6 linked regions of the Danio rerio genome follow. The protein of the gene in region 1 interacts with the protein of each later gene in a pairwise test. Links are inferred from orthologs where the notes say so. Each region holds a gene or a part of one and is shown in the gene's direction. Other genes may lie near its edges.

The links.
Region 2: the proteins of eda (region 1) and dolk interact in binary tests that used the Homo sapiens proteins (3 or more experiments, as listed by UniProt). The two-hybrid records come from large-scale screens. The link is inferred for Danio rerio from reciprocal best matches to the Homo sapiens genes EDA and DOLK.
Region 3: the proteins of eda (region 1) and zgc:92045 interact in binary tests that used the Homo sapiens proteins (3 or more experiments, as listed by UniProt). The two-hybrid records come from large-scale screens. The link is inferred for Danio rerio from reciprocal best matches to the Homo sapiens genes EDA and LEPROTL1.
Region 4: the proteins of eda (region 1) and sec22a interact in binary tests that used the Homo sapiens proteins (3 or more experiments, as listed by UniProt). The two-hybrid records come from large-scale screens. The link is inferred for Danio rerio from reciprocal best matches to the Homo sapiens genes EDA and SEC22A.
Region 5: the proteins of eda (region 1) and cyb561 interact in binary tests that used the Homo sapiens proteins (3 or more experiments, as listed by UniProt). The two-hybrid records come from large-scale screens. The link is inferred for Danio rerio from reciprocal best matches to the Homo sapiens genes EDA and CYB561.
Region 6: the proteins of eda (region 1) and mala.1 interact in binary tests that used the Homo sapiens proteins (3 or more experiments, as listed by UniProt). The two-hybrid records come from large-scale screens. The link is inferred for Danio rerio from reciprocal best matches to the Homo sapiens genes EDA and MAL.

The regions. Positions count from the first base shown.
Region 1 is NC_133180.1:37,396,979-37,399,850, forward strand, and holds part of eda (ectodysplasin-A), read left to right. Parts: intron 1-907; coding exon 908-1,032; coding exon of another isoform or gene 1,033-1,038; intron 1,039-1,173; coding exon 1,174-1,434; 3' UTR 1,435-2,872. UniProt on the Homo sapiens protein: Cytokine which is involved in epithelial-mesenchymal signaling during morphogenesis of ectodermal organs. Functions as a ligand activating the DEATH-domain containing receptors EDAR and EDA2R. May also play a role in cell adhesion.
Region 2 is NC_133196.1:5,409,623-5,413,132, reverse strand, and holds the end of dolk (dolichol kinase), read left to right. Parts: 5' UTR 1-806; coding exon 807-2,381; 3' UTR 2,382-2,864; downstream 2,865-3,510. UniProt on the Homo sapiens protein: Catalyzes CTP-mediated phosphorylation of dolichol, the terminal step in de novo dolichyl monophosphate (Dol-P) biosynthesis. Dol-P is a lipid carrier essential for the synthesis of N-linked and O-linked oligosaccharides and for GPI anchors.
Region 3 is NC_133189.1:363,370-368,156, forward strand, and holds the start of zgc:92045 (leptin receptor overlapping transcript-like 1), read left to right. Parts: upstream 1-1,763; 5' UTR 1,764-1,882; coding exon 1,883-1,898; intron 1,899-3,767; coding exon 3,768-3,843; intron 3,844-4,378; coding exon 4,379-4,565; intron 4,566-4,787. Other genes in the region: F-box/LRR-repeat protein 12-like, read right to left, coding at 282-611. UniProt on the Homo sapiens protein: Negatively regulates growth hormone (GH) receptor cell surface expression in liver. May play a role in liver resistance to GH during periods of reduced nutrient availability.
Region 4 is NC_133184.1:39,560,679-39,565,342, forward strand, and holds the start of sec22a (vesicle-trafficking protein SEC22a), read left to right. Parts: upstream 1-1,564; 5' UTR 1,565-1,714; exon of another isoform or gene 1,715-1,718; intron 1,719-2,165; 5' UTR 2,166-2,188; coding exon 2,189-2,370; intron 2,371-4,664. UniProt on the Homo sapiens protein: May be involved in vesicle transport between the ER and the Golgi complex.
Region 5 is NC_133178.1:21,562,599-21,566,125, reverse strand, and holds the end of cyb561 (transmembrane ascorbate-dependent reductase CYB561), read left to right. Parts: intron 1-2,478; coding exon 2,479-2,671; 3' UTR 2,672-2,789; downstream 2,790-3,527. UniProt on the Homo sapiens protein: Transmembrane reductase that uses ascorbate as an electron donor in the cytoplasm and transfers electrons across membranes to reduce monodehydro-L-ascorbate radical in the lumen of secretory vesicles.
Region 6 is NC_133186.1:32,864,842-32,869,115, reverse strand, and holds mala.1 (mal, T cell differentiation protein a, tandem duplicate 1), read left to right. Parts: upstream 1-1,839; 5' UTR 1,840-1,875; coding exon 1,876-1,965; intron 1,966-2,779; coding exon 2,780-2,947; intron 2,948-3,035; coding exon 3,036-3,167; intron 3,168-3,348; coding exon 3,349-3,423; 3' UTR 3,424-3,675; downstream 3,676-4,274. UniProt on the Homo sapiens protein: May be involved in vesicular trafficking from the Golgi apparatus to the cell membrane. Plays a role in the maintenance of the myelin sheath, and in axon-glia and glia-glia interactions.

The DNA.
Region 1 (2,872 bases):
TCAGGGCCTAATAAAAGTCTTAAAATATCTTACATTTCAAAAATAGAATTTTAGGCCCTAAAAGTCTTGAATTCACTGAAATATTGTGTTGGTCCTGAATCATTTTAAACAGGTCTTAATTTTCCTCTGTCCACGTAAAGTCACCTAATCGGGCCAACACACATCCAGTCACCACCAATCCATCTCAATAAAACCTTTAACAAACATTTATTTATTAACTCTATATCCCAATATGGTTTAATTATCATCCTTACAATGACATTTGTTTATAATGTTTTTAATGTTTTAACTGGGCCAGAAAAAAATGTAAATCTGAAATTTCATTCCCAATGTTCTTAAAAAGGTCTTAAAGTCTTAGATTTGACTTGATGAAACCTGCAGAAACCCTGTATTAAGCTTTTGTGTGATTGAACCAAGTTCACATATTAAATTTGAAAAAATAAACACTAATAACGTTTTTTTAGAACTTTCTGCTCACATAAAAATTACAAACAGAAATTTGTGTCAGTTTCCACTGATAATTGATCGTTTATTCCATTCATAATAACATCAGATGTTTTTTAAATACCAAATCTGCATATTAAATTATTCAGATTCTGTCACTCTAATGACTGAAGTAATGATGCTTTGAATCACAAGGATACACTTTGAAATACTTTAGCATAAAGATGTTTAATATATGAAAAATATTTTAATAATAGTGTAAATAGTGTAATACTGTATTATAATAAGAGTGTAAAAGGCATTTTTCTTTTTTTAAAGTTTATTGATCATTGAAAATTAGAATTTTTTATGAAAATGTCAGTTTATATTAAAAAGCTCTCAACAGTTGAGCCCTGGTGTGTGTGTGTGTGTGTCGCTACAGTCACAACAGATGATTGAGTATTTACTGGTGTCTGTCTGTGAGATTTGTCAGAAGGTGTGCTGAAGAATTGGAGGATGATCTCGATCCACCAGAGAGTGTTTAAAATGCACTCGCGCTCTGGAGAGCTGGAGGTCCTACTTGACGGAACATACTTTATATATAGTCAGGTAGAAGTGAGTACAGTCCCTGGACTCTACTGCTTATACACACACACACACACACACATACACATATACAGCATGCGTTTCACAAATATACCACAGCAACATTAAAAGCCCCAATGCGCTTTGTGTGTGTGTTTGCACCAGGTATATTACCTGAATTTCACCGACATTGCCAGTTACGAGGTGATGGTGGACAAAACTCCGTTCTTACGCTGCACCAGAAGCATCGAAACCGGCCAGCGCAAGTTCAACACCTGCTACACAGCCGGAGTGTGTTTGTTACGAGCTCGTCAGAGAATCTCCATTCGCATGGTATACGAGGACACCTCCATCTCCATGAGCAACCACACCACCTTCCTGGGCAGTATCCGGCTGGGGGACGCCCCGTCTGCAGGACACACCTGATACCAAACCTGAACACATGCACAGATCAGTACCCAAAACACCCTCTGTCAGCCCTTACACACCAAAGCAGACTTTAAAAAAAGTTCTAGAAAACTGGTTTATGTGACTAGATGAGCTGAGAGACTATGTGTGTGTGTGTGTGTGTCTCAAATAGACTCAAACACACAGACGCACACACGTGCGCATGGAAGAAGTGAAGCTGCAGTGTTTTCAGGGACTGGAACTGCAAACAGAAGTGTTTATTTTTCTTCCAGTGAGAAACTCTACTGTGTTTCTATGCAGCAGACACTCAATCTTTACATTCAACAGCACACGCATAGCGAACCTGTGTACCAGTCTATTCTAAATAAGCACTGATAATGGCATTGTATTTAAAGCAGAATATCTATGTTCAGTTATCTCTCATCTTTTACACACAGTCAAGGATGTACAGTACCTGTTTTTAAGTCACAGCGTTCGGGACAGGATAGTGATGTTCAGCTTGATTTGCTCGTTTGGATTGGTTCTTTTACGCTTTATCTCTGTGCAGATGTTCAGGCACTGAATTTGATGGTTCCTTCATAATGCTTTTTTTTAGTATCCCTCATCATTCTGAATATGAAATACCCTACATCTTCTGTAGGGGGCAGCAGCGCTCCTCAACAGTAGATAAAGGCAGCACTAAAACGGTTGGACTAGAAGTGTTTGGATTAGAATACTGTTTTGCAGTAATTAGCATGCATATATATATAGTGCTCCGCATAATTGAGTACACCCCATTTTGAAAATGAATATTTATATCCATTTCTTAGTGAATCTAGGCTATGTATTTTGGTGCATTTACACTAAACATTTATTAAACAGATATATGTATTATTATATTATATATTAAAAATAACATTTTAGTCACCAAACATATTTAGAAATTGAAAGATAATACAATTAAATTAAAGCAAAATATTGCAAAATAATTTGCAACCTACAAAATTTCAACTGAATAATTCAAATTTTTTGCTTCTCTTGATTTTTCCTCTTTTTTAAAATTTGTATTTACTATTTTTCTATAACAAATAAATTTGGCTGTACTAGTTTTTGGAGCGTTATTTAAGTCATTTTGTTAGATAAGCTCCAGATTTGGCTTCAGTGCTGACTAATCTAATGTATATGCTCAAATATAATATTGTACAGCTTCCTATTAAAATATGAATTTAAAAGAGAGTTTTGTGAGGGGTGTACTTATATATGCTGAGCACTGTACATATATAGGGTGTATATAACCCCTCTGTGAAGTTTTAATTCTTTTTCAAATAATACACAAGTGTTGTTTAACAAAGCAAGGATATTTTAACAGTATTTCCTTTTCTTCTGGAGAAAGCCTTCTTAAGTAAATAGTAAGTTTTTCGCTGGGAGAAACTTCTAAAGTCAATATTATTAGCACCCTTTAAGAATTGTATTTAGA
Region 2 (3,510 bases), on another chromosome or scaffold:
GCCAGTGGCGAGGAATAAACTTCACCAATTGACGAAAGTGAAGGAAAAAAAAACCTTGTGAGAAACCAGGCTCAGTTGGGCACAACCATTTCTCCTCTAGCCAAATTTCCTGTGCAGAGCTGCAGAGTCTCGGCACCAGCAGGGATTGTTGGTGGGAATATCCACCTCAATACCATGAGGTAATTCCTTTGCAAGGCACTAAACCCCCAACTGCTCCCTGGGTGTGTGGTTATGGGTGTAAGTGGCTTTGGGTAAAAGAATCTGCTAAATGCATAAATATAAATGATACGATAAGATCAAATGTAAGATGATAAGCCACTAGTAAACACCGGAAATTGTGACTTAAAATGAAGTGTTACCAGGGCTTAATTTGTACCGGAACAAGTCAGATCCGGATCTGGCACCTCTGAAATCTGGTCCAGCACCTTATTTTACTGATCCCCCTCCTCACACGCACCCCCGCCCCACGACTCTTCACTTTCTTCTGTGACTCCCCAACCCTCTCCACTTTCATCCGCGACACCTCTCCCTCCTCTGGTAACATGTCGAATCCGTTAGCCCTATCTGTTCCAGGATATCGTAATTTACAATTATAGCATTGAGTGTTTTCAATTATTGTTTAGATATTATTTGTATCTTTGTGTCTAATGATTGTTTTTTTCTGAATGTGTCTTTACCCAGGTCTAACTGGCTGTATGTGAGAGGACAAGAAGTGGACAATGTTTATTAGTGCACCAGGAACTTTCTGACACAAAAGAAAGTCCATCATTTTTTTTTCTGCAAACCTTCACACACACTCTGCAGTCATGCAGATGGATCCAGTGCTGGTTGAATCTGCGGTGGTGTTCGCCATGGTGGTTTCCGTACACATGGCCGTGTGGAATCAGCTGTCCTGGTGCTGCATGGCATTGGCCGTCCAGGCTTTTTATGTGCAGCACAAATGGGATCGTCTGATTCGCTCTGGTGCCGCCGTCTTCCAGTTTCGTCCTTCAGCCAACAGCGGCGTCCTGCCAGCCAGTATGGTGCTGCCACTACTGGGACTCACCCTACGAGGCCGCTGCCTCGCTGTGGGAAACGTCTACATGGAGCGATTCGCAATGGTCATCACAGTAATCGGAATGATGTTGGCTCTATTCCTCTCGCTCATCGCATTGGGAATCACGCGGCCGGTGCCAACAAACACTTGTGTTATCGCCGGAATTGCTAGTAGTGCTATTCTGTACACCGTGAAGCAAACACTAACAGTGTCTGAGGTCATCGAAGTCTTGGAGGTGCTTCTGATTTTTGTGTATCTAAGTTTAATCCTGCTGTACCTCCTTCCACGTTGCTTCACCCCCGGCGAAGCCCTTCTGATCCTTGGCGGGATTAGTTTTATCATCAACCAGCTAATTAAGCGCTCTCTGGCTTCGTCTGGAAATGCAAACTCAGACCCGCTTCCGTATTTCCTCCCGGTAGCTGTTTTAGGGTTAGTGCTGTTGGGAATATTCTTCGCCGTGCTTTTTATATTCATGGAATCTGAAACCTGGTCAGCGTCGCTCTTCTTCCATACCATGACTGCGGTTTTGGGATTGGGGTTATTGGTTCCTTGGCTATCTCTACTCACGCAGCACCATCCAATCACTTGGTTGATGCATTTCATCACTGAATCAAACACTCGACTTTGGCTCATTGGGTTTTGGGCCGCTTTGGCGCTTCTAGCAGTTGCCGTTGTGATGCATCAAAATAGTCATCGATCTGCAGGCAGCAAGAAGCATCAAGCATCAACGACAGTGCGGAAGTATTTCCACCTGCTCACCGTTTTAACCTTCGCTCCCGGACTCGCTCTGGATCGTCCTTTGCTGCATTTGTCTGCGGTTGTTTGCCTCTCTGCATTTTTGTTTCTCGAATATGTCCGCTATTTTCGCATTCGACCATTCGGGGCTCCGCTTCGACGTCTTCTCACCTTATTCCTTGATGAGAGAGATTCAGGACCACTTATTCTCACTCATATTTATCTTCTTCTTGGCGTTTCTCTTCCACTGTGGTTGACACCTGGGATGTGCACCCCAAAAGGAGGCCTAGGGGGCGCTAGTGGGCTAGTACCCTATGCTGGAGTCCTTGCTGTAGGGGTCGGGGACACAGTGGCATCCGTTTTCGGCAGCAACGTGGGTGAAATCCGCTGGCCTGGGACTAAGAAGACATTTGAGGGCACGGCGTCCTCTGTGTTCGCTCAGATTATCGCTGTGGTGGTTTTCCTCATCGCCGACAGCAGTATTAACCTGAACGCCAGCTACTCGTGGGTGGTGGGATCCATCTCTATGGTGGCCATGTTGGAGGCCTATACGTCGCAGATTGACAACCTTCTGCTTCCTCTGTATCTCTACATCCTCCTGCTGCTATGAGGTCAAAACCACACTCATGCCAATGCACAGACATATTAAATTCATAAACTACGGTACCGCGCTAGTTTTGGACTTCTTTTGGATTTTGAACGAAATATGGGTACTTTATAATAAGGTCCCTGTTTTTAATGTTAGCCGCTACATTACAGAGATTGTTCACCCAAAAATGATAAATGTTTCATCATTAACTCATCCTCCACTTTGAATTTCTTTCTTCTGTTGAACACTGTTCTGTTCCATTGACTTCCATAGTATTTTTTGTTCCTACTATGGATGTTAGATGGCTGCGTATTATCAATGTTTCAGAATATTTATGTTCAACAGGGGCGCAGTAGGTAGTGCTGTCACCTCAAAGCAAGAAGGTCGCTGGATCCCTGGTTCGATCCTCGGCTCAGTTGGCGTTTCTTTGCAGAGTTGGCATGTTCTCCCTGCGTTCGCGTGGGTTTACTCTAGGTGCTCCGGTCACAGTCCAAAGACATGTGGTACAGGTGAATTGGGAGGGCTAGTAATTGTCCGTAGTGTATGAGTGTGTGTGTGTATGTTTCCCAGATATGGGTTGCGGCTGGAAGGGCATCCGCTGCGTAAAAATGTGCTGGATAAGTTAGCGGTTCATTCTGCTGTGGTGACCCCGGATTAATAAAGGGACTACGCAGACAAGAGAATGAATGAATGAATGAATGTGTTCAACAGAAGAAAGAAATTCATAAAAGTTTGTAAAAGTGAGTAAATAGTGAGAAAAATTTCATTTTTGGGTGATCTGTCCCTTATGTTGCGTTATGTTTGTTACAATATTTATTTGAATCAAGTAAAATACAACATTAGAGCTGCATGATTAATTGTTAAAAATCACAATATTGATTCAATCTTATTCTGACTCATGCCAGTAGGTGGCGACAATAAATCATTTGTTCAAGATTCATGCAAAAAAGCTGATTTGTCCAATAATGAATTAAGCGAAGTCAAGTGAGCCATTAAATCATTTAAGAAATTTGTTCAAAAATGAAGGTTCAACAGATGACAGATAAGTCATATTCAACTCATTTAGTTTTGCCTTAAACATAATAGTTTAACTAACTAATTTCTAATATCACCTTTTTTATCTTCCCCATGGTGAGGGTGAGTACATAAC
Region 3 (4,787 bases), on another chromosome or scaffold:
AGCATTATTGAAAGACTGTCACATATGGCTCCGTTCCATCTTGTTTTTAAGCGTTTAGCTTCTTTTATTTTAGCATTCGTTATTCCTTCAATCACGTTGTTTAATGACTCACTTACCGGTATGCCTGTGATTACTCCTCTTATAAGTTTTCTGTCATAGACCTCAGAGCATTTCACTTTTTTACCATTTATTTTATTTACTTTGATTGCTTTCTTTTGTTGAGCCTCATCTTTACATGACACCAATAAGCATCCATTCCTTAATTTTTTAGCACATCTTACCTCCCCAATCTCCTTATACAGAGCTTTCGTTAGTTGTATAGGACTCCAATCCTCAAATGTCGCCCCTTCCTGTACTAGTCTAACAAACACATTATACTCTTCATTTCCTTCCTTTACTTTGGATCTCATTTCTTCGTCACTATCTAGTTTGTTTTTTCTTTTTTTCCGCTTTTTACCTCTACAGTTTGTCCACGGTTCGCAACTCTCGCTACCCTCCATCTCCTCTACTTCATTTCCTGATCCGTCATTTCCGTCTCCCCACTCCTGACCATTCTCAATCCAGTCGTTGCCAACCGCCTGCACTGCTCCTCCTCCACTTGATGCCGCCATTCCTCCTCTCAGTTCCACACGCACGGACAACAACACCGTACATACAAAATAAAAGACACGAACTGTCTCTCAATGTTCCAGCAAAACGGGTTCTTTATAAACCAAATACTAAAAACAATTATCTATAAAAACAATGCAATTTATTAGAGCGATAATTTTGACTAAATGCACTACTTTAGGAATTTACATTTAGACTATCTTTGATGTGAATTGACTTTTCATATAAAACATAAAACACAAAGTCCAAGGACTGACCTGCAGCTCAAACATAAGGATATTTCAATTCTTTAAGAGGACTTTTTATAAATTTACTTATGGTTTATGGAAATTTCTTTATTTTTAAATGTAAATGGGTAGTAAAAAATAGTTTTACTTCCTTTAAGAAATATTAAAGCATAAAAAATAATAATTAAATAATTTTATTTAATTAAACGAATTACATTTTTATAAATGAATTATCATTTATTCATTCGTTTTCTTTTTGGCTTAGTGCCTTTTACCCGCCATAAACGAATTAAATTAAACAAATTATAGGCTGTGCAGATTGTTTATGTTTTAAGTGCTTTCTTGTTAGGTGAATCTGGGATTGTTATCAAATAATTTACATTTCTTGCATAAATACTACAAAAACGACGCGTTTGCAAATTGAAAATGTGCATTTATGAATATAGAACGTGCATAAAAACATTAAATTTTTCATAAAGCAAGCATTATAATTCGCATAAAAATAAATGGTATTCAATGGAAAATTATGTGATTTTATTCCTTTATTTTTAATCATAAAGGGACGGCGTGTTAGAAGGGATACAGCTGCGGCCGGAAAGTACGGGGAATTATTTATTAAATTACCATTAGTTGTGTTGTATTAACGTCTACACCAATACGCCTACCCCGACCCTAAACCCAGCCCTCACAGTAATGTAAAAAACAGTAATTATTCAAAATATTATTCATATTACTTATTAAAGTACTCATTAGTTGTAATTTAATAACGTCTACTCTTCTCCAACCCCAATCCCAACCTTCACAGTAATGTTAAAATATTAATTATTCTTGCACAGTTTAAAAAAAACGCTTTATTGATGTGATGCGAGTATCCGCAGCTGTATCCCATTTACCGATTGTTTTGATGCTCACCGGAAGGGCTTCTGTTCCGCGCATGCGCAGTGTGGAGGGCAGCGCTAGCGGAGCGGAGGATCATCAGCGCGAGGAGTTTCCTCAGCTTTAATTGTTCGGTCTGTAATTAATTAGTGTGTTTATAAACCTGCGCCATGGCCGGAATTAAAGGTAAACACCTCTCAGTGTGCGCGTGTGTTCTGTGTGTGTGTTTGTATAGTGTTCAAGCGATAGCTGTTTGAGGTTTATTAGCGGCCGCAGATCTACAGCCTCCATCCACACACAGACACACACACACACACACACAAACACACACACACACACACTCTCTCTCTCTCTCTCTCTCTCTCTCTCTCTTTCTGTACATTTGAGTAACTTATATTGTGTTTTTAGTAGAGATTAACATCCTTTCATAAAACAGACTGTCTGTTGTGTTTGTGTGTGGATGTACACGTCTGAGTATATTTACGTGTGTGTGTGTGTGTGTGTGTGTGTGTGTGTCTATACACATTATTATATTAACTAGTATATGAAGAGTTCAGATGCAAAAACCTCTAAGTGCTGTCTGAAATTTCCATCGAAAATGAACATTTTTTTCTCAGCCTCCTTTGTTTATGTTGAGATATTTCAAAAAATATGTAAAGGAAAAGGACTTATTCTTTGCCATAAAAGTGACAATACTGAACACACACACACACACAGGAGCCTGATAAAAATGCTCATTTTAGAGGAGTTTTTGCGTCTAAACTCTTCATATTAACCTGTTAATTAGGCAAGTCATCGAAACATAATTATTTAGTTCGTTACAGGTCTAATAATATTGCCCACAGCAGTTTTCAGAAATAAGGCTACAGAAGAAAAACTAAACAGAAGCACTGAGAATACAATTCTGCTCTAAACATCATGAAACATGCAGGGCTAATAGTGTTGTCTTCAACTATACACACACATACACATCTATATTCATTAACACACACACACAAAGGATTGTGATGTCATCTGACCTCTCACGAGGCATGAGTAGTGTGTGTGTGAGAGAGAGAGACACGGGGGCTACTCGTGCTCTTAGGGTTCACAGTTTATTGTCTTATTCCACAATCACAATTATTTATTCAACTGATTATCTTAGCTCATATGAAGTAACATTTATAAAATATAATATTAAAAAATACAAATATTAACTAAAATATTTCCATATTTTATATTTTCACAGTGCGACAGCACCGAGCCTTACATTAGACTTTTGCTAATTATTCAATCGTTTTCTTTTCTGCTTAGTCCCTGAATCAGGGGTTGCCACAGTGGAATGTACCACCAACTATTCCAGCATATGTTTTATGCAGTGGAGGCACTTCCAGCTGCAAACTATCTCTGGGAAATTTTGATAATTAGTGACTAACAATTTTATGTATAATTAAAGCGGTCATGATTGTGCAAACGTTTAGGATGTAAATAATCATAAAAGATGAAGAAAATAATAATGGGGTGACACAGGGGTGGCTCAGTGGTGTTGCACTGTGGCCTCACAGCAAGAAGGTCGCTGTTTTGAGTCTCGGCTGGGTCAGTTGGTGTTTCTGTGTGGAGTTTGCATGTTCTCCCCGTGTTGACGTGGGTTTCCTCCACACTGTCATGCGCTATAGGGGAACTGATCAACTAAACTGGATGAAGTCTAATGTAAGTTTCAGCAAAATGCACACACTGCAGGCTGTGCAGGGTTGCCATGTCCAGTTATTCTAAGCGTCTGTGGGCTTTTATTAGAGTTAATAAACTGGTCTGGATAACTGAATATCAGTAGTATTTTCAATATTAAGTATTGAATTTGTTTCCAGTGTGTAATGCACCTGTTCTTGTTTGTTGTTTGTTCCACCAAGATCTGGCAACCCGAGCGAGTCACTGTCCGTATCTGTTCCTCCTCTTTCTCGCCCAGTGATGATTTAATGTTTGTTAAATCATCGCTGAACTCGCGCTGTGAATGTCAGCCATGCGGAGTCTCTTTAATCTGTGTGTGTGTGTGTGTGTGTGTGTGTGTGTGTGTTTCAGCTCTGATCAGCCTGTCGTTTGGAGGAGCCATCGGCCTGATGTTCCTCATGCTGGGCTGTGCTTTACCTGTCTACAAGTGAGTCTGAAGGTTTACATTAGTGTGTGTGTGCGCTGTTAACACTGGTTTGTTTGTGTGTGGTGATTGTTATTAACACGGGTGTGTGTGGAGCATTATCTCTGATGTTTGTGTGTGGGGTGGCAGTTTGTTTGTAACACCGGTGTGTGTTGTGTTGTGTTAACACTAATGTGTGTGTGGAGTCGTTAACACTGGTGTTTGTGTTGTGTATACTGGAGTTTGTTTGTTTGTTTGGTTGGGGGGGGGTTGGACTGTTTTAACGCTGGTGTGTGTGTGTGCGTGTGCGTGCGTGTGTGTGTGTGTTTCTGCATGTGTGTGGTATTTGATTGTATTAACGTGTTCTTTGTTAATCATACTTTGTGTGTGTGTGTGTGTGTGTGTGTGTGTGTGTGTGTGTGTGTGTGTGTGTGTGTGTGTGTGTGTGTGTGTGTGTGTGTTTGTGTGTGTGTGTGTGTGTTTGTGTGTGTGTGTGTGTGTGTGTGTGTGTGTGTGTGTGTGTGTGTGTGTGTGTGTGTGTGTGTGTGTGTGTGTGTAGTGCGTACTGGCCGTTGTTCCTGCTCTTCTTCTACATCCTCTGTCCGCTCCCTCACTGCATCTCTCGGCGTGTGGTGGAGGACTCCGACTCGGCCAGTAATGCCTGTAAGGAGCTGGCGGTGTTCCTGACCACAGGCATCGTGGTGTCGGCGTTCGGCCTGCCCATCATCTTCGCCCGCGCTGCCGTGGTAAATATTACACACACACAAACACACACACAAACACACACTGTGAAAACATAATGTTGGAATCATATGCAGATATTTGTAGAGTTATACTGTACAGTGTGTGAAGTGTTTTTTGGACAGTTTGAGGAGTGTTTGTGTCCAGTGTGTGGTGTTTGTTGATTAAGTGTGGCGTGTGTGTAGTGTTGTATGTGTTTGTTGATTGCATGTGTTGATTGTTTGTTG
Region 4 (4,664 bases), on another chromosome or scaffold:
ATCACACCTTCATCATAGTACTATTTAATATACATTCGGTGACATTATTAAACAATAATTTTTCTATGGGAACATTATGGTTAGCTTATAAAAATAGTTTAGAATATTCTTTATCAAATATATTTTTTATTGGATAATGCATCACGGTGGCGCAGTGGGTAGCACGATCACCTCACGGCAAGAAAGTCGCTGGATCGAGCCTCAGCTGGATTAGTTGGCATTTCTGTGTGGAGTTTGCATGTTCTTCCTGTGTTTGTGTGGGTTTCCTCCGGGTGCTCCAGTTTCCCCCACAAGTCCAAAGACATGCGCTATAGGTGAATTTTGGTAGGCTAAATTGTCCGTATAATGTATGTGTGTAAATGAGTGTGTATGGATGTTTCCCAGTAATGGGTTGCAACTGGAAGGGCATCCGCTGTGTAAAACATAAGCTGGAATAGTTAGCGGTTAAATCCGCTGTGGTGACCCCAAAGTTCCCAAAGGTCAGAGCCGAAAAGAATATGAATGAATGAATAATACTATTATTTTTCAGCTGGACTGTGGGTGCACGATCATCTAACCTGCCACAGCTGAAATCTACCCGCGTTTGGGGGTTTGCGGGTGTTAATGTCAAGCCCCGAGTATAATCATGAGGAAAGCAACTAAAATCGAGGATAATCTTAAAATACATCTGTATAATATTCAGGAATCTTAGGGTTTTTATTTATTATTCTTAATAAGATGAAGTGATTTTAGGAGAAAGTTGAATTTTATTCTAATGAGCAAAGGAAGGGTAATTTTATGCAAATTTCTGTTTGTGAATGAAAAATTAGCCATATAGGTTTAAAAAGTTATGTGTTCCAGGGGTTTATCTTTTGGGTTATTATGATAAAAAATAATATCTTTTAGACTAAAGCAATTGGACAATCAAAAACATATGTACTGTCTCCTCTGCTTGTTTGCAGAAAGAACAGGAGCTGTCAATGTCCAAAAATTTAAAAATACTAGAACTTACAGGATAAATTGTGTAAAATTGTAAAATGCATTTATTTTGCCTTGTTGGACATGCAATATTTCCCAGGTAAAAGCCTGGTTCTAGTCCAGACTATAAACTCAATGAAGGTCCTCCATATATCTTTCTTCTAGAAGAAATGTGCCTTTTAAATAGATAAATTTGACACACAAACTTATTGTTAAATTCCTTATCTAACAGACTAAAAGGAGAATGAATATCCACTAAGTCGGTTAGTTCTACAGTGACTTTTAACTAGGTGAAATAAACCAGGTGAAATTGCTTAAACCACTTTATTAAATTCTTTAGGATGAGCTGGGAAACTGATATGTTATAAATTGTTCATAACAAAAACAAATTTCTTGCATCATCAAACAAGCAAAGGATACAATTAATATTATTTTAAATCCACCTATGGAAAAATGATTTGTTTCTGATTGTAATATCTCGGTTATTCCATAAAAAACATCGGTGGATTACAGTGGCCCACAAATAATCCTTTACCTCACCGAGACCGTCACAGAGCCGAATGTTTTCCGAAAATATACGAAGAGAAACCGGGACTGTGCCGAAGTTGTTACGAGTTTAGCCGAAGCTGTGTCGTACGTAAGCAAAAACCGTCCGCTATGAGACCCGCAGGAAGAGCTCAACGATCAAGATAGTATATCAACAAAATAACTCAAAAGGGTTATAATGTCTTAATATATTTTTAATCGGCTCATGTCAGTAGGTATGTACACTGAAAGACTGTGTTAATGCTTGCAATAAGTGTCGCTTAGTGTCTAGTTAAGTATCTTGCTATGGTAGCAGTACAGCCATATAACGCTACTGCACATCATTGTAAATCAATGCGATGAATAGTTTTAAAGAATAGCTTGACCTTAAAATATTATAAGCCTGTATTATTGTAGATATGGGGTTCTGTAGCGCATAAGACAATCACCAAACGTGATATGATGACAATAAGTCAGCAAACATGCTAATATTATTAGCTTAGCACAGTGTGCACCAGATGTCATGAGTCCACGTACATAGAGCTGAATGATATTATAGAATTCGTAAAATATGTCTAGATTTTGTATGTAATTTTTTAGATTATTCTAGCTAGCAGAAAACTAAGAGGGTGGTAAATGGGCCATTATATGCAGTGAATGCCCTAAATATCCTGTTCTTCCAGGTGTCAACTGAGCTTTCTGTAAGATGTCTATGGTCCTGTTTGCCTCAGTGGTGAGAGTGAGGGACGGTTTGCCTCTCTCAGCCTCCACAGACTATGAACTGGATAAAGGAATTCAGGAGACAAAGAAACATCTCAAGGTCCTGTCCAAAAAACTCAGCCAGTTTCCTGATCGCTGCTCACTCAGATCTGGACTATACAATATCAAGTGAGTTTTGCATGTAGTGGCATTTCACCTTCTAAATGTAATTTCATAATTACAAAGTATTCTTTGCAAATTCCAAATAGGGAAAATCATATTAGCAGCCAGTGACTATCAAAGTACTACATCGTTCACAGTCAATTAAATAGTGCTAATGTTGATTTGTCATACTTTTGAAGTCATCAGTGGCCCTAAGCAATTACAGGTATGGGGCCCTAGCATTGAAACTCAAATCACTTACTTTCTCTATACTGTAGATATTTTTTTTTCACTGTAGAGTCACAAACAGCAAGCTCGCAAACTATGTACAGTTAAGGAGCCATATTTGTGATTAGATTTTAATATTTGCATGTGCGGAACGGAAGGAACATTCCACTATTTATGGTGGCCCTTAGTAGTAATAATGTCAATCTTGTAATGGTTGTAGACAGATTTTACCACATATGATAAAAAACTTATAAAAAAGCTTAATGAGCAATATAGGCTTCTTCGCATTGGTCAAGTCCCCTTAATTCCCTGGGCCCCTAAGCGGCTGCTTACCCCTCTCATTGGTTAAGTCCGATCCTGGAAGTCATACATGCGATTTCAGAATTCAGACCGAATATTCAAACTAGTATGTTAAACAATATACAGACCTTCCATACAGAAAAGTGTGTTCATCAGCTTTTTAGTTACAGTTAGTAACAATATAATGTGTGGTGCTCATAACAGTACATCATAATAATTAACCGCTATTAGCCTATTTAAATTCTGCTTTACTATTTAATTGAACGCGAATGTCTGAATGTGTGAATATAAAAACAACTTCCCCCAAATGGCTATGCTATACCACATTTACACCATAGATGTCCAGTGTGAAAACCAACTGTGATGTTTGCACTGGAAAAACATAGACTTTAAAGGGACTGTTCAGCCAAAAATGAAAATCATTTACTCACACTCCACTTGTTCTAAACTTGTTCGAGTTTCCTTCTTTTGTCACTAAATAAGATATTTTGAAGAATGCTGGAATGCAGCAGCCATATAATTCCTTTTTTTTTTTGTTCCTACTATAGATGTCAATGGATGAGTTTCCAACATTCTTCAGATTTTTTTGTTTTGTGTGGGCTGCAAGATGGATAGAAAGTCTTAAAATGTCTCAAAAATAAATTTTAGGCCTTAAAAAGTCTTAAATCTACTTAAATCTTTAATTTATTTATCAGGTCTTCATTTTCCTTTGTTTATGTGTAGCTATCCAATCTGACCAACACCATACAATCATCAACAATCCATCTCAATTAAATATTTAACTTTTTTACTTAGAAATTTTAACTCCATTTACCATAATGGTGTAATAATTGTTCTTACAGTAACATTTGTTTAAAGTTCTCTATGTATTCACTGCTGAGGATACTGACCTGACCTTTATTTTTAATTATTAAATTATTATTATAATTTTTACTATATTATTAAATGTGTTCAATTATTTTTTGATTAGGTAAATACATTTTTTTCCAACTGGGATATAGGTCTAAATTTATTTTATAATGGTCTTCAAAGTGTCTTTAAAATTCTTAAATTTATCGTAGTGTAACCTGCAGAAACCCTCAGATATTCTGACTCTGTTTGGCTGTTGTTTTAATCTTTATTTTTGCATTTTTTTTATTTTTTCCTATACCTGTATAAGGTCATATGGGCACATAGAGGTAACACCGACACTACTGAAACTCATTTTGACTTGTTTTAAGGACATTACATCAAAGTTGGATCAGTCTGTTGAGTGTTTTACTACTACAAGTTTAAATGTGACTCAAAATCCAGACCTCCATGGGTTAATAAAAAGGATTTCCATTGATAATCTTTTTGTGATTTTTATTGTCAGCACATTCAACTATGTAAATAACAAAGTATTTAATAAGAATATAGTCAGATCTAGGATGTGTTTTTTAGTGTTCCCTTTATTTTTTTAACAGTGTATATTGCATATACTATAAATTTTGCAATATATTGTGCAGCCTTAGTTAGAAATAAACAGAAAACTATAGCTAGGCATGCTTTTTATCTATTTTATTGCTATTGATTGATGGTAGCTGTAATGTTTAGTGGAAGAAACAAAAAGGCAGACTTGTTTGTTAAAATGCTAGGGCAAGTAGCCTAAACGATGGCGGATATTTCATATTTGGATGACCATTCCTTTAATTAAAACATCCCAGCTAAAACAAATCACAGTGGGGTGCTGTGCACTGGTTGCCAACTGTTCTGATGCAAAATTAAAAGTTCCCCTTCAGCAAGGTCTAATTCAGATGCATTACACTGACGGA
Region 5 (3,527 bases), on another chromosome or scaffold:
TGTCTGAATGGTAACAAACTTAACTGATAAAAGACAAAGTCCAAAAATGCTTGTTGAACACAAACAGCTTTGCTGTATCAGCCCTGACAGCATCGCAGAGAAACACATGCAACAAACCCCTGTGAATCATGGAAACAAACACATAACGTTACAACCCTTCATAAATGGCTAAATACCGCTTGCTGTACGTGAACGCAGTTTCACGCAGACATTGGGTCTCACAGCTTGGCAGGTCTGCCTTGATTCGTGCTTGCACGTGCTCTCATGAGTAATTAAGAAGCAGGGTCTTCTTATAGGATAAGAAAACTCCGCTATAAATAATAATGAGAAACCAATACATCATCACTCCACTAGCAGATTCACGCTACTTCACTGGTTTTGATCCCACCCCAAAAATTAGTTTAAACCCGGAAGATAAAATTAGCTGACAAAAGCTCAAAATTATATAGTTTTTCTCACAATTTAAGCTAACAGGTGCTAACATTGTCTTAACTGATGCTCAACACACACACACACACGTATTAAATGAATACACTAAGCTGCACCAGCCGTTGCCTTGATTTGCTCGCCGATGTCTTGTGCATTGCACTTATTCTTGCCCTGGCCCTTATCTTATATACAGATTTATTTACAAAACAAACAAAAAATTACATTAAATTTTAAACGACTATCTTTGTCAAAGATTTTCACTTCATTGACCTCTCCATCATTCTCCCTCTCTTTTAAAATGGGATGGTGGGCTTACTCTGGCCTACATACCCTAGTTTGGGCGTCTCTGCTCTAGAGTTTGAGCTTGTGAAATTCTGTCAGTGCTGTGAAAAGGGGTTGGATTAAACAATATGATTAGACATTAAAAAATGAGAAATTGCTCCATACTTACATAATTGCTGTACAGAAAGGTCATGTTTTGATCATCTATTTTTCTCACGCTATCACGTGATGTGATTTCGCAGGTCAGAGTTCACCAAGCTTGAACTGTGCAACACAGCAAAATGCTAAACTTTTCGAACAAGCTTACATTTCCGGTCTGCAGCATTTGCATGCGTATACAAGTGGGAGCAAGCGGAAGTATACAAGGCGGGAGTAGACCACGGCTTGTTTTTGAATCTACCACTATGCCGTCACACAGGGATGGACAAAAATACATTGAAATGTATTTTAAATTAAAATACCAAATACCTTAATTTTACATGTATCAAAATAATCTACAAAATACAGCAGCCACAACAAGTATCAAAATGAAATACTGTATTTTGTATGCTAGCAGGCATATTCAATCAATCCCTTCACTGTTAAACTGACTTAGTGAAGTAAACAATGCTTGATAGTAACAGCTTATTTTCTGAGCAAGTATAAGTCAGCCACTGTAGGACTTGTTTATGTTGTTGGTCTTATTTTCTTGGCATCTACATCACCAATTCATCCAAAAATACTATTATTTGTGCAGTTTAAGCATTCTCCTAAGATGACATCATCATGTAGACTTCCTACAAAGTATTTTAAAAATACAAAAATACAAGACACTAAAGTATTGACACAAAACTTATAAAAAAAAAAAGTTAAAATTAAAAAGTTATTTTCATAAACCAATGTATTTCAATATATTTTAAATACTTGTAAGATAAATACTGCTTATCCCTGATGAAAAATAGGCATTTGTGGCTCCACCCTCTTCTCAAAAGAGCACGATCTCATTTGAATTTAAAGTGACAGTCACCAAAATGGCAAAATTAGGATCAAAACCTAAAAGGGGGAGATTTAATGAGCCATAAACTATTGTTTGTGATGTCTTTTGAGCTGTAGATTTCATTCACACACACAGACAGCAACAAACAAGCTAAATTCACAGACATGCATACTGTACGTGTGCTCGCTTGGGAGTGTTAGCTCCCATCCAAAATTACACCAGTTACCGACCGCTTCTGCGCTTTATTCTGAAATTTATTCCCGCGCCGCAAGAAATCTGGTCGGGTCTGCAGACCTATATTTTGAGCTGAAACTTCCCATACACACTCTAGGGACTTCATTTACATCTTGTAAAAAAAGGGGCATAATAGGTTCCCTTTAAGCCTGGGGTCTCAAACTGGATTTCTAGAGGGCCGCAGCTCTGCACAGTTTTGTTCCAACCCTAATCAAACACAGCTGATGCAAATAATCTAGGTGTTTAAGACTACTAGAGACTATTAAGCGGTTGTGAATTGAAGATGCTTGGAGCTAAATTACGCAAAGCTGCGGCCCTCCAGGAATTGAGTTTGAGACCATTGCTTTAAGATATTATTCAGTTTGTTCCCATTACTGCATAAATCATAAACGGTTTATAAAAATGGATTAAATATATTGAACATATGATTAATAACACTTCATTAATACACTTTACACATAAATGGGTGGCTCCCAAAAACAAATCCATAATAGGAATCTGAATAATAAAATCAGAAAGGTTTTCTATTTATTAAACGATGATAATCTTATCTTCAGGTCAACTTACTCAACGTTTGCTCCTGAGGGCATCCTGGCCAATGTTTTAGGCTTGTTGTTGGTGTGCTTTGGGGTGCTGGTGGGTTACGTGGTGACCAAAGAAGATTTCAGGCGACCACCGAATCCTGAAGAGGAGGCTTTGTCCGTCCATTTCAAGACCCTGTCAGAAGGAGAAATCCCCAGTTCTCCTTAAAGTCATAATGTGCTCCAGAAACAGCCCTTTCTGCTCTTTCTACCCATGTCTTATTAAACATTTAAGCCAGCTCCTCCATCTGTAGTCTTCTCTCGCCGCCATGTTCCACCATCCCAAAGGGTTAGTTCACCCAAAAATGAGCATTTACTCACTATTTACTCCTCAAACCTTTATGAGTTTAACAAATCTGTTCAATCCAAAAAAAGATACATGGAAAAATGTTGGAACTCTTTGACTTCCATAGTAGGAAAAACGAATGGTACAACATCAGTTTGAGAACTAAGGACATGCTGATTTAAGAAAGTGATGCAAAAGTGACTAAAAATGAAGTAAATGCTATATACAAAAAATTGATTACAGGGTAAAACTACTTCCACATCACTTGGTGAAAAACACTGAGTAGAACATTCCCACCTTGCAGTTTTGTGTCTAATAGATGTCAAAACATGAATGTCTTGGTTAAAGTAGTTTGCTACTAGAGAATGATGCTAACAAAATCAAAGCCCCGCCCCCTACTCAATATTCCATTTGATTTGGAGGAAAGTCAACACACTGAAAGAGAAGTCTCAGCAATTTCTGGTTCACACAGACTTTAAAACAAAAATGCTAGCTGGAATAAGTGATTACCTGGACCCAGTTTTTCAAAAGTAATCCAGAGGGATTTTGGATCATAAATTGGATCAAATCTTGCAAATGGGTTTTTCAAAAGTAACACAGGGAGTTTGAATTAGGATCAGACCATGTAATCTAATCTTACATTTGATTTAGATCAAACCTGCCCTTTTATTAAAAAAAAAAAAAAATCAGGTTATTCAAAACTTTGAACTCAGATTGCAATCTATTTAATATATAAAAA
Region 6 (4,274 bases), on another chromosome or scaffold:
AAATGGGTAAACAAAATTGGCTGTAGTGCATGAGTGTGTGTGTGTGAATGAGTGTATATGGGTGTTTCCCAGTACCTGGTGGTGACTGGAAGGGCATCCACTGTGTAAAACATATGCCAGAATAGTTGGTGGTTTATTCCGCTGTGATGCTCCCTAATAAATAAGGGACTAAGCCAAAGGAAAATGAATGAATAAATGAATAAAGTACTAGTTAAACACGAATGACGTGAAAGTGTTTAGCCGGGGCGTGGCACCTATGTCAACATCTCATGGGTGTCATGGACTAAAGTGATAAGTGATGGGGCGTGACAGTGGATTGCAGACTAAATTGAATCGAGCCGAGTGGGGAAGGGTCTAGATGAATATTATAAGAGGGGAGAGAGTCGTAGAAGCAAGTGAAAATGAGGGGGGGGGATGTTTGTTCCGCCTGACGAAAGTGTTGGAGGGAGAGTTGGATGGAGTTAGGGGTTTTTGGTGGGTGGGGTGGGAAAGTGGAAAGTGGGAAAGTAGAATTGTCCTAATTTCCCACCTATTGCCACCCCTGTCTTCAGCCTTACCTTTGATGGACAATGGAAATAAATATTCCGAAAAAAATCTTGATTACCACACTGTAAAACCCAAAAAGGTAACTCAAACCATTTGAGGAAATTGATTGCAACAAACCATTTAAGTTTAAAAACTAATCCTAATGAGTACTGTGAACTTACTCCATTTGAGTAAACGAAACAATTTGAGCACAGTAAAACCCAATAAGTTAAGGCAACTCAAACCGTTTGAGGAAACCAATTGCTACAAACCATTTGAGTAAAAAAAAAAAAAAACTAATGTAAATGAGTACTGTGAACCTATTCTATTTTAGTAATGAGGTATTAATTAACTCATTACCTTTAATACTGAGTTCAAAACTCTTTTCAAATAAGTACAAATAACTTTCTGTAAATCGAATTAACTACACTCATTTTATTTGATAAAGTTGACTGTTGTGTTTTACAGTGCAAGATTACCAAAGACACATTGTACAAAACTCATCAAAGTCAACAGTACACTCCAAAAAATATTTTTTGCTGCTTGTTCAAACAACTAAAAATGAGCTAAATCAACATAGTTCTTGAGTTTTGGGGGGACAATTAAATTGTTATGTTAAATCCACTTAAATTAGTAAAAACAGTTAACTTAATTTGTACTAACATAAATGAATTGAATGGAATCCAGCATTTTTACAGTCTATTGACTTTTGTGTCTTTAATTTCAGGTGTTTTCCTTCCTGACCACTTTGCTGTATTTCATCCACACCATTTTCTCAGCCATCAGATGGAAGTCTTTCTAAAAACATCTGCACTCTGACCTCACAACTGACCTTTTAAGCATGATATCTTCAAAAAGCAAAGCAAAAGACATTCAAGTGATAATAGTGTAAAATGCCTGTTTGCTCTTCACCTTTTAAGTGCATATACTATGAATTTTCTAAAACATTTTCTGCTGGTATTTGTTTTGTAAATTGTTCTCACCTAAAGTATAAATTATTACAAATATGACTTGTATAATAAAGGAAACAATTAATAATCTCTTTGGTGTGGTGCTTCATTATAAACAAGAAAATCCTCCTTTATTGTTAAATAAATGATTGTTGATTTTTACAACATTCTACTTGATTAATGTACCGCCATATCAGTCGTTATAACCATTCGTAAACAAGTGTTTGTCACGTAAATGTCTAGAAAATACTATAAATAAAGCAGATGGGTGTGTCCTTATGGAATCCATCAGATCTGTCAAGATGAACAGGTCTGTCTAGCATTTTTGTCAGCTCTTTAATAGAACTTGTCTTTTGAATTCCTTAAACATTTGTTATACGTGTACTAAAAGGACACACATATGGCAACCAACACTGGCCCATTGGGTCACTTACCAAGCGGAGGGGCAATTTTCTGCATCATTCCTGACATCCTCTTCCTTCCAGAGCTTGTGAGTTGATTTAATTTGTTAAATGCTTTATGCAGGCTATGCTCCTAACTTAGTTTGTCAAAGCAGCTTAACATAGACATTCTGGTACATTGAAAATGTGTCACTCTAGTTTTGAGAGTTGAAGTTCAGTTTAGTTCAGTTCAGTGTGCTTTAATTTTCACTGCAGAAAGTCCAAATACTGAAGAGAAATCTATTGATGCACACATCCCAACCAAGCAAGACAGTGGTGCCAATTGAATTTAAGTTTAGTGCAGAATCTAATATCTGTTCTAATAACTTTTTAAAGGAGATTTTGTGGTTTTATAATGATGATAAGAATGTAAAAATAAAATGTTAATCCAAAGCGTACACTATTAAAGTCAGCTTATTTAAAGTAATTTTCTTAAAAACTATTGATTAGGTAAATAAATACATACTTAAAAAGTGCTAATCTGTCATTTTTAAAAGTGAAAAACCAACTAAAAGTCACTGTAAAATGTTAGATTTGTATTGTATTTTATAATTAAAATGATTGTATAATATTTTACATAAAAAATTCAAATTAAAATAAAAGGTTAAACTGAAAGAAAATGATAACATAAAATAAAAGCACACACATCTATAATCACCAAAAGTGTCCAATAGATCAGGTATTACTAATACATTTGAGAAGCTTTCATTTTCTATTTCATCTATTTTGCGTCATATTTCCATTTGTCCAATTCAGATGTTTACAAAAAACAGAGGTTTCCATCATAATTTTCATTATGTACATTAGCCTACATTTTCTTGATCAGTAACTTCAAGAACGTTATTTATTATGTTCATTTCTCAGATCTTTGGCGGTCTGACGTTGTCACTGGTGGCATCTACGTACCTCATACCTTACAACCCTCAGGCGTACGTGATTTCTGTGACAATAGCCTGCTTCCTCACTACTTTCCTGTGGTTGATGGTGTTTGTCTGTGGGTATCATCATAACAGAAAATCCTGGGCAACCGCAGTGAGTTAATAATCTCTTTACATCTTCACTTTTTTAATCGTTTCTTTTGTGTTTGATCTTATATGTTTTGTTAATTTTCTCTCTGCAGGATGTAGCATACCATGGATGTGCCACAGTCCTCTATCTCAGCGCATCTGTGCTTTTAGCTTTGGTAACCATTGGGTGGAGTCAGCCAGATAACATGTTTTTCCTTATTTACCAGCTGGACATTGCTGCTGTGGTGAGTTTGTGTAGTCTCTTTTTAAATCGGTTTTACCTGTTAAATAAAAAACAATTAAGTAACGGTGAAATATTTGAACACGAATGAAAAAGCATTAATTTACAAAATCTTAAAAATTTACTGCACGTTTTAAACGTTGAAGTCTAAAGTATGTTGACTCTCTGTGTGTCTTTAATTTCAGGTTTTTTCCTTCCTGACCACTTTACTGTATTTCACCCACACCATTTTCTCAGCCTTGCGATGGAAGACCTACTAAAAGTAGCTTTTTAACTTATTTTGCAAACCAAATGACTGCTCAACTGGCCTTTAAAGCATGATGTTTGCAAAAAGTATACTGAAAAATGCATTTAGTTCATCAGCAGTTATTCATGTGATAAATTTATGTAAAGTTTATAACAGTTAAGTTTTTTCCCTCTTCCTTTTCATCATATTTTTTTTGTAAATTGTTCTTATCTCAAGTAATGTTTTTTACATTTATGACTTAATTAATAAACAAAATAATAAACTATCTTTTTGGTGTGGCGCTTAATTATATAAACATATATTTCTTTATTTTTAAATGAAAGGTTAGCAAGATTTTTTTTTAAACTAACTTGCTATTTACAAGATTCTGCTTTTACAATACCACCATAAAACTACTTTTTACTGGGAAAAAAAGACAGACAAAAGCAAAAAATAAATAAATAAATAAAAATGCAAATGTGACACCCTGAGGGCGTCGTGGTTGATACCATAAGCTATTTTTGGAGCACTCTTTAGCATGAAGTTATGCGGTTGCTCAAAAAAAAAAACGAAACATTTGCTGTTTGTTCAAACTATTTTTTATTTGTATTTGTTCAAACCACTTATTTAAAATAAGCTAAAACAACACACTTATTGAGGGTTTATTGGGACAACTTAATTTTTTTATGTTTTCTCCACTTAAATTTGTAAAAACTTAAGTTAATTTAATTCCTTCATTTTTTAGTGCTGTGGTTTGGTGGCTTACACGTCAAAAAGACCTTAAAATATTGTTTCAAGGGCAGCATGATGGCTCAGTGGTTATCACAAACATCTTACAGCAAAAAATTTCACTTGTTTAAGTCCCAGCCAGTTGGCATTTCAATG